Linked DNA regions of Rattus norvegicus. The protein of the gene in region 2 purifies or fractionates together with the protein of the main gene of each other region. This does not show direct contact. Links are inferred from orthologs where the notes say so. Each region holds a gene or a part of one and is shown on either strand. Other genes may lie near its edges.

Region 1 (3,749 bases), on a different chromosome or scaffold from region 2:
TCATCATGATGCCACAGCCCTAGAATCCCAGCTTCTCCAGAGGCTGTGGCATCAAATTGTGAGTTCAAGGCCAGCATGGATAACAGAGTGAGTTTAAAGCAAGCCTCAAAAAATTATGGAGACTCCTAACAGGCTGAGGCTATGGCTCAATGATAAGAGTTGTTATACAATGTCCTGCCTAAATCCCCAAGCCAGGAAAAGAAAAATCAAACAAGACAAGCTAAAGAGAAATGCTGTAAATAAGGGAAGAATAAATACACATGATATGTGGTTAATATTTTCATACGTAAACCATTCCTTTTTCCCCCTTCGTGTCAGTCTTGGTAGATAGTCCAAGCTGAGTTTAAATCTAGGCCCTCCCACCTCAGCCTTCCCATGTGCTGGAATTAGCTGTAAAACACTCTTACCAGCTAAAACAATCCTTTTAACTTTCTGAAATTTTATATGTCTTATTAGTAAAAAAAAAAATGCAAATAAATAAAACATCACACACCAAAAGTTGTGTCTACAGTTAGAAGAGGCATTCCAAATGGAAGCTGGAAGTTTTACACTTCCACTATCAAATATATTTTATCTACCACCAAAACCAAGAGAAAAAGCATTAGAAATAGAAATCATTTATATCCTTTTGTAAATGATGCCCATTACCTACATTCAGTTCTTCTCCATCCTCATAATCAATAGGAAAAAGAAGTTTTAGTAGAACAAAATGCTGCAGCCCAGGGACATATGAAAGACGCTTCACCTGCAACAGCTAATATTTTCAAGATGGGGCTCAGGCTTGGGTTCATCTTAAGCCTAAAACTAAGATGAAAATACTAATATCTACCTTTAAAAATATAAAAGAAACCAACCATACAGGAAACTAATTACGTGGTACACATGAACTATATATCTTTGCAGAAGCGTTCGCGTTAAGAGGCATTTTTTTTTTTAAATCTTTAGGGAGGAAAGTTCAGAGCGAAGCACCCAGGTAAGTGTTATGAAATTGGGGAGTGTTCAGATAAGATGGCCTCTTTATTACTCAATATTTTGCGGCATATTTTTTACGCAGTAGTAAAAGAAACGCACTCCACTGTGTTTGAAGGAACTACAGTCTCCCTCTTCAAGGCAGGCCGCCGCGCACTGCAAGTGGCTTTCATTTCCGTGGCGCAGAAACTTCCTAAGGAACATGGAAACCACAGCCTAAGCTCCCTCCAACACCGGCGGTGACGACAGCCTACGCGAACCCCGTGATGCCCCTCGCCTCCCACGCTCTTACCGCACAGCTCCGCCTCTGTATACGCGGCGGGGCGGGCCTTGCTCAAACCACGGATACGATTGGTTCTAGAGGAGAGGTGGGTGGGTCAGCGCTGTGACGCCACAACCTCGCGCACTGAAAGAGCGCGCGCCTAGGAAGCCGCGGCATTAGACGGTTGCGGGCGCAGGTGACTGGTTATCGTCCCTCCTGGTCTTCACGCTACTTCTGCATCGTGAGTCGGGGTACCTTGTCAGCAAGACCTCGCTCCCCTTACAGTAACTCTCATCTAGACGTCGCAACTCCGCCACCATGTTTGAGGCACGCCTGATCCAGGGCTCCATCCTGAAGAAGGTGCTGGAGGCCCTCAAAGACCTCATCAATGAGGCCTGCTGGGACATCAGTTCGGGCGGCGTGAACCTACAGAGCATGGATTCGTCTCACGTCTCCTTAGTGCAGCTTACTCTGCGCTCCGAAGGCTTCGACACATACCGCTGCGATCGCAACCTGGCCATGGGCGTGAACCTCACCAGGTGAGCGGGTGGCGGGAGCTGGGCCCCATCCCTCCCGCTTCGGCTCTTGGCGGGGCTGTGTTCCTGCACTCGCATTGGCTGGCATGGCCGTCCGCGCTTTCTGATTGGCCTGTGGTGCCGGGGACATCACCCACCAAAGCGCGCGGTTCCGAAAAGCCCGCGCTGGCTGTCGCGCCTACTTTTTTCCCGCGCCAAAGCCACAAAGCGGTAGTCAGCGGGAAAATGCGTGCTTCCGAGCTGCGCTCATTAAGTGCCTGCAGCTTTTTCTGGCCGATTTTAGCGCCTAATAAGCGAGTTCTGGTGAAAAAGGACTGTCGACTTAGAGTCTTAGAGTGACGATAGGCCTTTTCTTGACTTCTAGAATCTCACTGCGCGTCATGGATTTGCAGGAAAATCTCAGTTTTAGCTTTTAACTTTGCTACAACTACCTGTGTTAGTGCCTCCTGTATACATTTCAAGGACAATATGTGACTTATTTTGGTACAGATATATGGATTAGTGTCACTTGTATACATTTTGAAACATTTATGAAAAGGCCAGACGCGATAGGGCACACTCTCCAGTACGCTGAAAACCGAGGACACCCCACTAAAAAGGATGCGTTCTTGAATGTTGGCTTTTAGTGCATTTTACTAAATCGATTTTTAAGGATCACATATACCCGATAATTTGCTTAACCTCTGAGAGGGTTCGGGGTACCCTTATCCTCCCTAACAATTCTCCAATCATGAATGTGAAATATAAATTTAAAAATGTAAATGTGGAGACATGATGTTGATAAGCCCTGTGTCCTTTTTTTTTTCTAGCATGTCCAAAATTCTAAAATGTGCTGGTAATGAAGACATCATTACATTAAGGGCTGAAGATAATGCTGATACCTTAGCACTAGTATTTGAAGCACCAAGTAAGTTACACCCTTAAAACTCAGTTGCTACAGAAATTAAAGTGTGCTGTTTCTGTTTCTCACAATTAAAAACAACAGGGTTGTGGTAAATTTACAACATAGATATGAACATGTGCTTCAGTAACACTTGGATTTCTTTTGGTAGATCAAGAGAAAGTTTCAGACTATGAGATGAAGTTAATGGACTTAGACGTTGAGCAACTTGGAATCCCAGTAAGTATCTTGTTTCTGATGGTGTTTTACCAAGCTGTGATACCAGCTGATGCATGTTCTAAAGTGGAGTTGTGGTGTTTGCCATTTCACCAGACCACAACAGCCTAAACTTGATTGAGTTGTAAAGACATCAGAAGTCTTGTGTTCTGAGTTCTAGTTAAGGTGCTGAAACTTGAGAACATGAAGCTGAGTCTTCCTCTTTTCTAGACTGACCTTTAACCTTGCATTTACAGGAACAGGAGTACAGCTGCGTAGTAAAGATGCCATCTGGTGAATTTGCACGTATATGCCGGGACCTTAGCCATATTGGAGATGCTGTGGTGATCTCCTGTGCAAAGGACGGGGTGAAGTTTTCTGCGAGTGGGGAGCTTGGCAATGGGAACATTAAGTTGTCCCAGACAAGCAATGTTGATAAAGAAGAGGAAGCTGTAAGTAGCAAGAGGTGTCGTCCAGCTAACTGTGTCTGAAGCAGGATTGCCGGCTTAGCCATTAAGCCTTGACTTCTGTTTGTTTATTCATTCTTTCATTTTGAGATGGCATTCTGAGTAGACCAAGCTGGCTTGGAACTCAGATGATGCCACATAAGCTTTTACAGACAGGATTTGGAAAGCTAAGTGTACAACCTTTTGCTTCCTGGAAATACTCTTGACAAATCAGTGAGGATTAGCAAGTGAACGGAATGGTTGGGGGTGTAAAAGTCTTGGGATCATGTAGCTCCTCTAATAGCTTTTATGTGTTGTAGGTTCAGTTACTAGTTCATTTAATGGTGCAAAAGCAGACTGAGCAAAGTTAGGTTGTAATTTAGGCCTAGCTACAGGCAACAGGACTCAATACAATAATAAGAATATCCACAGTACCAAAG
Region 2 (3,749 bases):
ATATTTGACTATAAATTTAAAATAGGCTTAGGGATCCATTCTGGTATCCACGAGTATCTATAGAATGTCTTTAAATATCACCTTATCGGCTCACACATTTATCTTGATTCTCACCAGTCCCCACCCCCAAACTCTGTAAGGCTGCCCCAGCTGCAATTCTAAAGGTGGGGGAACACAAAACACACCCCCAACGAAGCCAATCGGGAAGCTTCCGGTGGTCTGGTTCCTGGAAGGGCAACTAATACTTGCAGCGATTTACTTTTCTTAATTAAAAAATAAATTACACAAAGAGCCTATCGTGTCTCAACCTTTCCTTCAAAGATTTATTTTTCTCCGGCAGTGGAGGAGGGGGATACCAGAGGACCCTGGCCAGGATAAACCGGTCACTGTAAGAAGGCAAATCTCAGACCCCATCCCCACCCCCACCCCACCCCCAGCGAGGAGGAATAGATGAAGGAAATAATGGCCACCATCTTGAGCTGTTGCTGAGATTTTCGGGGTTTTATTTTATTTTATTTTTGAGCGAGTACATGCCAGGCTGGGGACCCTTTAAAGCTCAAAGATACCCCTCTGGCCCTTTGCAACCACCCCAGTGCGCCAGGAGGGAGCCTGCACGAGAACTTAGGGCTCGTCTGGCATCTTCGCCTGTTACACAGTTCCTGAATTTTACACGTGTTGATGAAATTGAAAGAAGTCGAGGACGACGGGATTTCTTAGCAATCGGTCCGCCCGTGGGTGCCCTCGTGGCGTCCTCGGAAACGCGCCCATTCTCTCCGCTTAAGTATAGGGTGTCCTTGCACCCCCCACGATCCCCTTCCATACATTCTTTCTTGGCTTGCGTGTGGCCTGGCCTCCCTCCTAGCTGTCCCCCTGTCCAGAGCCGCCGCTACCCCACCTTCACAGGTCTCGGAGGACCCACTTGGGGAAAGAAGCCCCCCTCCCCATTGCCCTTGCCCCGCTCTTTCCCAGCTTAGAGAGAAGCAGTCCCGGCGATTTGCATATCTACGAAGGCCGAGGGGGGAGGGGGCAGGCTTTGGGTTTGTCCCCCCCCACCCCCGCCGCTCACTGCTCCCGAGCCCCCTCCCCCTGCGCCCGCCTCGGCCCGCCCCCCCTCCTTTTTCTCTGCCCGGCTTTGATCTCTGCTTAACAACAGTAACGTCACTCGGACTACAGGGGAGTTTTGTTGAAGTTGCAAAGTCCTGCAGCCTCCAGAGGGCTGTTGGCGCAGTAGCAGAGAGCTGCAGACTCCGCGCGCTCCGGAGACCGGTCGTAGAGCGCGAGGCAGCGCGCGTCAGCAGCAGACACCGGAGCCCAACCCGGACCACAGCCCTCCCCAGGCGGCCGCGCCATGGAACACCAGCTCCTGTGCTGCGAAGTGGAGACCATCCGCCGCGCGTACCCTGACACCAATCTCCTCAACGACCGGGTGCTGCGAGCCATGCTTAAGACTGAGGAGACCTGCGCGCCCTCCGTTTCTTACTTCAAGTGCGTGCAGAGGGAGATTGTGCCATCCATGCGGAAAATCGTGGCCACCTGGATGCTAGAGGTGAGAAACTACAGGCTGCTAGCTTGGGACCCCCTGGCAACTTGTTGCTATCACCGACATCTTCTTCCCTTCTCTTCCTTTCCGTCACGGATTTTTCCCGGTGTGTTGCTAGGACTCGGGATTCACAAAATAAATAGACACTTTCGGGTCCTTTTGAACGGGAAAGGTTTAGGAGTTGGGGCGATAGGAATTTCTTTTCCTGGTGGGGGGGGGCAGTCGGGGAGGGGTGCCTTCCAGGGAGGACCGTGTCAGAGACACCACAGAGGATGCAGGCTGAGCTTCTTCTGTGGCCCCCGCTTGTGCCCCATTCCTGCAGCGCCTCAGCGGGGGCCGCCCCTGCGCGTAGCGCCAGCTAAGGGGGGAGGGGGCATAGATTTGATTTTTAAATTAATATCCATGGACACGTATGCAAGGGCCGCTCGTGCCAATATTATGCGCCATCTTTGCTCCTTTATTGCAAAGCAAAAGTGTTTATTAATAATTGGGGGCAGGGCGGAGAGTGGCAGAAGGGGCGCTGGGACGGGCACGAGGGGCCTCGTGGCGGCCGGGAGTCACTAAATAGGACACTGTGAGGAATATTTGGGGGTGGGAGACTCTTTGTTCAAACAACGGACCCCTGGGCACCCCGCACACGCTGCCTGGCCCAGAGAAAACGCTAGACTGCAAGGTCGCGTGGCCCCCTAGTCACCGAGATTGACTGTTGTCCGTGCGGGTCTGCATTTGGGGGAACCTGTCTGGGTCAAGCCGGGGGACCAAAGCACATTTTCAGTTGTTCAACAGGAGGCTCAAGGGTTCCAAAATATTTTAAAATAATTTTTAAAGTGAGTTATAATGCCCTTGCAGAGGCAAACAGCGCCCGCACCCAGCAAAAGGGGGGCCCCCGAAGTTTGAGTTGCTGGGACTTATCCCCCAATGTCCACCGAGCTCCTGACCCTCGGCTTGGATCAAGGGTAGCCCTATTGTTATTTTCAGGCCGTTTTTAGGCACCTAGTTATTTTTTAAATATTTTTAAATATTTTTTGAAAAGATGACGTCTGGGAAATGCAGCGCGGCGGCCTGGGACGCCACCTTTGTGTCTCGCGTGCGCTTGAGCGGTGCCCAGCCCCCGGCGCTCCGCCAACCCTACGGTGGGCTTCCCTGCCTTGTGGCTTCCTAATTTCAACGGGGACGGGGGTCTCCGTGGCCACCACTGCCTCGATCCGCCGCGCCAGCTGCCCAAGGACTTTCCCTTTCAGTTTCATGATGGGTGGGTACTGGGAACCCGCAGGGCTAGAGCGCATCCCCCGGAATTGGCCACCGGAATCCCTCTGTGCAATCTATAAAAAGGGTGCGGGGTCACATCGAGCGACACCCCCCTCCCCCGTTGACGGTCAGGGTCCGGGTTCCCGCAGGTCTGCGAGGAGCAGAAGTGCGAAGAGGAGGTCTTCCCGCTGGCCATGAACTACCTGGACCGTTTCTTGTCTCTGGAGCCCCTGAAGAAGAGCCGCCTGCAGCTTCTGGGGGCCACCTGCATGTTCGTGGCCTCTAAGATGAAGGAGACCATTCCCCTGACTGCCGAGAAGTTGTGCATCTACACTGACAACTCTATCCGCCCCGAGGAGTTGCTGGTAACTGCTTAACCCACCACCCGTAATCCTCCATTAGCTGCTCGATCCCTGAGTGGTGGGAGATTTAAGGGGCAGGAGGTCCAGCCATCCATGGACAAATCTCCTGCCCCATGGATGGCACCCACACTGCATGACACCGAAGTGGCAGTGGGCAGAGAATCCCAACCCCATTCTACCTCTGTGCCCGCCCCCTTTCCGGACTCCCCACCGAGTCTGCGGTGGAACAGCTCTGAACTGTAGGCGGTGTGCGCCCCCTAGCGACGCCCGGGCCGCAGCGCTGGCCGTGGGAGGTCTTTTTGTCCATAGCTTGTCTGTCCCTTCAGACTTTCTACAGGCACATTTTGTTGTTTACCTATATGGGGTCCCAGGATGTCCCCACTCTTTTTTTCTTTTTTTTTCCTTTTTTCTTTTTTTTCGGAGCTGGGGACCGAACCCAGGGCTACCTCTGAGCTAAATCCCCAACCCCCGGATGTCCCCACTCTTAAGACCTTCTTGAATCAGCCTGCCTTTCTTTTGACCGAGTTCCTCATTCTCTGCAGCAAATGGAACTGCTTCTGGTGAACAAGCTCAAATGGAACCTGGCCGCCATGACTCCC

What was found. Proteins that work in one complex are often made in the same cells at the same time.
Region 1: the proteins of Ccnd1 (region 2) and Pcna purify together in Homo sapiens (affinity purification with western blotting; 5 studies listed by BioGRID and IntAct, with this or other methods). This does not show direct contact. The link is inferred for Rattus norvegicus from reciprocal best matches to the Homo sapiens genes CCND1 and PCNA.

What each region holds. Positions count from the first base shown.
Region 1 is NC_086021.1:139,953,559-139,957,307, reverse strand, and holds the start of Pcna (proliferating cell nuclear antigen), read left to right. Parts: upstream 1-1,487; 5' UTR 1,488-1,549; coding exon 1,550-1,770; intron 1,771-2,576; coding exon 2,577-2,674; intron 2,675-2,819; coding exon 2,820-2,887; intron 2,888-3,120; coding exon 3,121-3,315; intron 3,316-3,749. UniProt on the Homo sapiens protein: Auxiliary protein of DNA polymerase delta and epsilon, is involved in the control of eukaryotic DNA replication by increasing the polymerase's processibility during elongation of the leading strand.
Region 2 is NC_086019.1:209,525,285-209,529,033, reverse strand, and holds the start of Ccnd1 (G1/S-specific cyclin-D1), read left to right. Parts: upstream 1-1,223; 5' UTR 1,224-1,348; coding exon 1,349-1,546; intron 1,547-2,937; coding exon 2,938-3,153; intron 3,154-3,692; coding exon 3,693-3,749. UniProt on the Homo sapiens protein: Regulatory component of the cyclin D1-CDK4 (DC) complex that phosphorylates and inhibits members of the retinoblastoma (RB) protein family including RB1 and regulates the cell-cycle during G(1)/S transition.